Linked DNA regions of Rattus norvegicus. The protein of the gene in region 1 purifies or fractionates together with the protein of each later gene. This does not show direct contact. Links are inferred from orthologs where the notes say so. Each region holds a gene or a part of one and is shown on either strand. Other genes may lie near its edges.

Region 1 (3,425 bases):
AGATCTAAGTGGATTTTGAGAGACACAGCATTGTATACTGATGAAAGCCTGCGTTCTAAGGGCTTGGAAGCCTGTTAAACAATGAGGAGGGATGGGTGTAGGCCAGTTTTATGTCAACTTGACACAGCCTTAGTCATCTGAGAGGAGGGAATCTCCACTGGAAAAGTGCTTCTATAAGATCTGGCCATAGACAAGCCTGATCTAAAACTAGGCATTTTCTTAACTAGTGACTGCTAGGGGAATACCCAGCCCATGTGGGTGTTGTTATCCCTGGGCTGCTGGTCTTGGGTTCTGTAAGAAGGCAGGCTGAGCAAGCCAGGAGAAGTGGGCATTCCTCCATGGCCCCATTAGCCCCTGCCTCTAGATTCCTGCCCCACTTGAGTTCATGCCCCGACTTTCTTCAATGACCGATTATAGCATAGAAGTATAAGCCAGATATACAAACCCTTTCCTCCCCAAGTTCCTTTTGGTCATGGAGTTTAATCAAGGCAATAGTAACCCCAAGAAAAGGAATCCCCAGCAGGGTGGTTCAGGATTCTGAATGGGTCTTTATAGTAATAATAAAAATTAATAGCTTATAGAATTTCTAAAAGTAGTGACAGGTCATGAGGAACAACCCAGAGAATTTGGTTTTAGTGTTAACCACGTACAGGGACTCAGGACTCATGGCCAGAAGTCAAGGGTAATGACCACTCACGGCAGTGTCCTAACAGTGAACGTCACAGACAGACCCAGAACTGCTTAAATACAGATTTATTGCAAACCAACACCGAGGAGCCAGAGCGACTTTGCAGGCTGGACACCCCACTCTTTGGGTCTTTGGACAAAGGGGACAGAGTCACCCTGCTTTCCTCAGACCTCAGCTGGTGGGACTTAAAGGCCAAACTGTGGCTGTCGTGTCTAAAAAGAGAAAACAGGCAATGTGCCAGCTTCAGTGGCTTGGAAACCAGGGTAGGGCCTCAGGGCAAAGAACAGGGCATAGAACTATCTACTCGGCTGGTTGGGATTGAGTCTCCCTGTAATGCAGACATGTAGACACAGTAGCCACCACCACACCATGCACATGCCACAGGGATCAGTCACAGAGCACAGGTTCCTGCCACATGGCCTCTACACAAATACTATATCCCTCAGGCTGTTTTCTCTATACAGCCTTGTTTGCTCAAATGGGGCATCGACAAAGAAAAAAACATAACACGGAAAATAAAACCATGCTAAAATGATGAAGATGAGTCGCTACAGAGTGAAGCATTGTCCTAAATAGAAAGATGCAGGGCTCTTCCACATCATTACTCCTTCTGCAAGACTACCCACAGGATGAGAGCTGAGAGGGAGGCAGCCAGCTGAGAGAGAGGGCTGCAGATACATACACACCACGAGACTTCCTTCACTAGGTGGGAGAGCTTGCATGGGACAGGGACATGCACATCCTAGGACCTTGATGGAAACTTCAAGAACTAAAAGCGAAGTGTCCTGGGGATCTTGTGAATGTGACAGAGTCTACTCCCAAATGATGACCTCTTTAGAGAGATGTCATCAACCTGGTAACCAATGTCCAATCACAAGCTCAGACGCTGGAGTTGGTATTTAGGTTCCGATGCTACCCCTTGCCTACCACCATGGTCTACCTGGGCCCACAGATTAAATCCCAGTATGGACTTTTAAGAAATAAACCAGAAATCCCTCAAATGATAGCAACGAGCCAGCTCCTGTCTAAACAGTTGAGTAAGTTCTACAATCTGCTCTTCCAAGGGCTCCTTCCAAGCACGTGGACATGGAATTCGGTGCAGGGCTATTTCCAGAGAGCAGGCTGTTTGGCTTCAATGGGTCTTAATTCTTGCAGTTTGTATGGTTGGTTACCAGAGTACAGAAACCAGTGCTGTGCACACCAAGACTGAGAACCAGGCAAATGGAGATGCCAAGGCACCAACAGCCACAGAGAGAGTCCTTAAAGGGTTGGGACACCTGGGTCCTGGTCCCTTGCTCAGATTCTTACCCCTTGGCTGGACTGGCCACACAGGCTCTGAGCTCTAGGAAGCAGTCTGGTGATTGGCACAGGGAAATCTTCATTTTCTTGGACTCAACTGTAGTTGCCTTCAAGCTAGTGGATACACATTTCTTCCTGAGGCATCCTTCAGGGTCAAAGCTCCTTAGGGAGTGTAGTTGACACGATCTGCCAATGAACTACCAATATGCTGTGATCTCTTCTTGAAGGTACCCAGGCTTCAATGCAGCATACCCAAAGAGGAGGTCTAATGGGGGGAAGCAAGTAGTGGTGGCTAGTCTTAGTTCACTTCAACAAGGATCAAAGCAGGCAGCTGCAGTCAGAGGACAGACAGGATCCTTGCCACACCTGGGCCAGAGGCCAGAACCTCAAACTTTCTCCCAACATCTCAAACAGACCCTAGTTTCTGCTGCTCTACCCATAAAACTGAGGCAGGCCAAGTGTTTTCACAAAGAAATGAACAAGATGGAAAACATACACACACAGCACACAAACACATATGAGAGAGAGAGAGAGAGAGAGACAGACAGACAGACAGACAGACAGACAGACAGACAGGTCAACAAGTGAGGGAACCCCACAGCAGCCCCAGAAGGAGCCCCAGAGCCATGCCCCATTAGCCCTCATGCATGTGCCTGGCCCCACACAATTCAACTTAGCTTTGTCTGAGCCCAGCCACTCCTTATCCCCAATCAGAAGACAAGCAAGCAGAATAGCGTCAAAACAACAGCAAGCAGAGAGAACAGGGGAGAAAGGAAATGCTGCCTGCAGTGCCTGGTTGCTGTGGAGACAGAACATGTGCTACCAGTAGGCTGGGCCATGTCCCTCCTGCATGTCAAACACCTTCATTTAGTGTTGGCCATAGACACTGCCAAGCAGCTGGCCCTGCACCTTCTCTAGAATAGTCTGAAGGTGGAAGGTCAGCAGGGAAGGCCTGGTTCATCATGAAAGAAAAAATGGCTAGGACTGATCAGGAGGGGTGAGTCCCTGGCATGCAGGGAGCGAGGAGGACAACTCTCCATCTCCCCGATGGCGAGGGTTTCCTTTACTTCCGGTCATTAAAACTGCACAGCCCCTGGGGAGATGTTGAACATGGCCGGGTCGAATCGCTGGCCTCGGAAGGGAGAGCCTTCAGCATCCCACCCCTTCTTCAGCATCTCATGGACTTTCTACAAACAGAAAATAGAGAGATTAAAGGAGATCACAAGGCACTGCATGCTTTCTCCTAGAACAGACTGCCTGCAGGCAAAGAGACATCCTGCTTCTTCAGGGCTTGAGGATTTGCCTGCTAGGGCCAAATGGCCAGAGGACAGCAGGCCCTGCAGTAAGTAGTTTGTGCCCAAGGGAGGCACCTACTGACTGCCATTCCTCTGAACGAGTCTTTGCTCTCCCAAGACTGAACTTCTAGCTTTCCAGCTTT
Region 2 (4,277 bases), on another chromosome or scaffold:
TTTATTTAAAGAAACGATTCCATTAAATGACAAATTTGGCTGTCAATTTAGTTTGTTGTAGCCCTTAGCATCTAAATTCTGTATAAGACTTTAGACATGGACTCTCTGGTATTGAATTTTCATTGAAATAAAATTAGCTGCTTTCTGGAAGAAAATATAAGGTCATTTTCACTACAATTGAAGTTTTTACCAAGTCTAAAAGTTTATATATATGTACACACAAAGTTTTGTGTGAGTGTATCTGACTAGTGTACACATCTATTATTTTTCCTCCAGTGATAACAAATCCTGACCTGTTTCTTCTCGCTAATTTTGTCACTATTTCTGACTACCTAAGAAACTTCAAATATTCTAAGACTAATCACACAGCCTAGTTTAACAGATTGTCCAAAACTATCCAAGAGGGAGGTAGCGGTACCTGGCAATCTTTATTCTAGATTAGAACAGGGGCCTCCACTTAATGTTTCAGTCAAATCAAATGTTTCAATTTTTTAGTATAATAGACATCATTACACATTTACTATGATCTACAATTTGACATATGTAACACTACAAAAAACATCTAATTTTCTATGTATCTTTTTCACTTGTTAAACAGCTGAATATATTTAATACTTTTCAAAATGCACTTGTTAGCCATCTAATAAACAATTTGAAGCCAAACAAACAACAACAAAAAAAAAAACCTAAGTTACCTTTTTGTCTATTAACTGTAGCAATAAGGAGAGACAATTGAAGGGGAAGTACAACACCATCCCTGATACACTGAAAAGGTATTACACCTTGAATCTAAGAATGATCTGAAGGTGCTGAAAGAGGTGATTCTCTAGAAGGTGACCCAGGGTTTTCTTCAGGTGGAAAAACTGTGAGAGTGCAAGCCCGAATGCCACCAAGTGACTCTGGAAGATCAAAAACTTTATGCCACTCATCTTTTTCTGGGTCATATTTCTGGACAATTTCTACCATGCAGCGGTTATTCCAAGAATATCCACCAACAACGTAGATTTTGTTTTCGAAGACCGCAACTCCAACATCACTCTGACCTCTTAGCATAGCAGCAATTGGTGTCCACTGGTCAAGAGTTGGCGAATAGTATTCGCAGCTTAGGACATCATCATAATCACTTGTTCCTCTGAAATGGTTGCCACCAATGACATACAGCTTGTCTCCAACTGTACACATGCAATGCAGACCTCGGACTGTAGTCATAGGAGCCTTCTGTGTCCATTTGTCTGTATCTGGGTCAAAACACATGAGCTCATTTTGGAAAGTGTCATGGGTAATTCCTCCGGATATATACATTAAACCCCCATATACTGTTCCAGCATGGCCATAGTGGGGTTCACTCATTTTTGCAACATAGCTCCATTCATTCATTCTTGGGTTGTAACATTCTACTGTGGCCAGTTCACCAGCTGCACTGCGTCCACCAACTGCATATAAATGTCCTTTGAGTGCACTCAGGTGAAAAAATGTGCGCTTTTCGTTTAATGATGCCACCTGCATCCACTTATTATAACGAGGATCAAATCTGAAGACTGTATCAACAGCAGTTTTTCCTTTTGTGTCATAATTACTCTGACCACCAACTACATAAAGGAAGTTTCCAATAACAGCAATGCCGTGCTGGTATCGAGGAGCATCCATAGGGGCTAACGATTTCCACTCCTGCGCCCTTTCGTCGTACATCCGTAACTCTTTACTTACAACCAGCTGTTGCCTCAAAACTCCTCCTAACGTAACCAAATGAGTAGAATCTGATCGAATGGCAGTTCTGTCTGACTGCATCACTGGCTGCATATATGGCATCATTTGGTAATTGCTTGCTTCCAAAAGTAAATTCACACAGGTATTGTCAGTTCTCATGAAATCTACTGTCTGCACATAGTTGATGAGATCCTGTGGCGTCATCAGTGGGAAGCGAATATTCTTCATTAATTTTGCAGCATAGTCCATCCGAGGGTCTTCCAGCCTCAACCAGCGGCAGGCTGCCTTGAAGAGTTCAAGTTCAGAACAGTGCTTGAGACTATTGCTGGAAAGCACAAAGGCAAGCCGTTCAAAGGGGAGTTTTAGAAACTCCCCGGTACTCAACAAGGCAGGAAAGTTCTTCAGGATGAAATTATTTACGTATTTATCCACTTCTATAAGATTGTAGGTGTTAGCAATCCGTCCAACCTCAACACAGTTATCTAAGGAGACACCAGATATAAGAAATACTTTACAAAAATCCAAAACCGGCAAGATCTGTAGAAAGCTGGCAGCCTCAAGAGTATCCTGAAGATTGTCCATATTGAGAGAGAGTTTTGCAGTATAAATAAAATCAATGATTTTCTTCAGACCAACTTTGTTCACCCCATGAAGCTTAATGCACATTAGATCTTTCTCCTTCATTCCTCCTGTGAACATGGCCTTGAAATAATCACTGGCAGACGCCATCATGGCTCTATGAACTGGGAAGATTTCCTCTCCATCGCCTGGTACCAGAGTCACGTCACAAAGCAGTCCCTCTATTCTGAGCTGATCAAAGCCTTGCAATACAACAGAACTGTGCGTATTGCTGGTAAAAAACCGCGTAGTTCCAGCCTTGCAAGGCTGCAGGTGGGCAGAGACGCCCATCTCGCCGTTACCGAGCGACACCTTCATGGGAGAACCCGGAGCTCGCAGCAAGCTGCAGGCCGCAGACGTTACAAAGAGAACGCTCTGGGGAAACGCAGGGCCGCCGAACAGGCAAGCGGTCGCCGCAGCACCGCACTGGGCACACCGACGTCCGCCCTGCAGCAGCACCACGCACGTCAAATCTGACAGTAGAGTCGGTGAGTCATCACCTGAGGCAGTTACGTGACCGCTTCACCTCGTCCGGCCCGGGTTGTCGTCCTTCGCCGCTGCGCTCAGGGTGGGGGAGGGGCCGTCACGGCCTGCGCACCCGGGCTGCCGCCCTCCAAGGTTCAGCACCTCAGCGAGCTGCGGCTGCGACTTCTGCGGTCTTCGATGTGTCTCTGCGGCCACCGGCTTGGCTTGGAGCAGGGCCTGGAATTCCGACTTGGGCCTAGAACGGCGGCCTAGCACCGACGCCCAGCTCGACCTTCCGGAAAGGCCGAATCCCAGGATCCCCCGGGCTAGGAGCAGCTGCACAGCTAATGCGCCTGCGCGGCTGACCTGGCTAGGGGGCGGTGGATGGGGGAAGGGCGCGGGCGGGACTGGGGGCGGGGTTCCGCCCGGCCAGCCAGGCCTGCGGAGAAGCCATTATGTAAGCATTCAGGAATGCTCGTGCGTGTGCTTAAGCTTGCAGTGGTAGGTTTTCTTAGCACTTTTTTTAGAGCGCATTCTTTTCAAGATTTACGCCAATGGTCCTTGCCAGAACAGCAACGAAACGCAGCCTTTGTTCAAACAGAAGAAACCTGGCAAGGGAAATCAGTGTATCATTTTAATGTTCTTTTCTTCAAGAACAGTTTTACAGTTTGCATCACACTCGATTTAATAAACATCTCAATTAAAATTTTGTTTGTAAGATTTTAAAAAAAACTTTTAAAACACATGACATTTAACTTGTCACTAAATTTTGGTCCTAATGATACATTTTGAATATTTGGCAGGAGAGTAATGCCTTCAAAAAAAAATACCTGTTTTCAGGGGTTTGCTTTCCAAACACTATTATGATCTGTAATAACGGTCTGAAATAACCTTAGAGGATTTGAACACAAAACTTTACCCTCTTTTGGATAATAATATTTGGTAGAATATTCAAGTCAATGTTTCCAAAATATTGTACCACCAATGCCTGGGTCTGTGTTTCCCTTGTGTTGAACTTTGCTTTTATAAGTATTTTTTTATTAACATGCAGTTGTTTAGCTACTGGCAGATTTTAATTTTGATTTAAGAAAAAAGTAAATAATTTGCCATAATTCTCAATTCTCGAAGTTTGAAGTTGTTGCTGTCTTTTAAATCCTTCTAGGGTTTACCTGTATGCAAACTAAGAATATACTTATATTTTTCTGTTCCACTTCCTGACTCTTTTCTAAATGGCATGTATCCTACTTGATTTTTCTTTCCAGTTCAAGATTTTCCAAAATTGGTATATAGAGAGCTTACTTACAACTTGTTGGTGACCAAAAAATGTATGCAACTGATTTACTTAACTATAAGTGGTTAATCTTCCTTTAATTTCTCCTTCCTTCTTCTCCCTGTGGTTTCTGGACAATTGCAGCAATCCAAGGAAACCAGTAGGACAACATTCTTTTCCCCAAACTAGGAGAACAACACCGTGGTCGTCATTACCC

What was found.
Region 2: the proteins of Nudcd3 (region 1) and Klhl9 purify together in Homo sapiens (co-immunoprecipitation; 3 studies listed by BioGRID and IntAct, with this or other methods). This does not show direct contact. The link is inferred for Rattus norvegicus from reciprocal best matches to the Homo sapiens genes NUDCD3 and KLHL9.

Annotation. Positions count from the first base shown.
Region 1 is NC_086032.1:85,189,538-85,192,962, forward strand, and holds the end of Nudcd3 (nudC domain-containing protein 3), read right to left. Parts: intron 3,175-3,425; coding exon 3,064-3,174; 3' UTR 739-3,063; downstream 1-738.
Region 2 is NC_086023.1:108,450,587-108,454,863, forward strand, and holds the start of Klhl9 (kelch-like protein 9), read right to left. Parts: upstream 3,091-4,277; 5' UTR 2,644-3,090; coding exon 790-2,643; 3' UTR 1-789.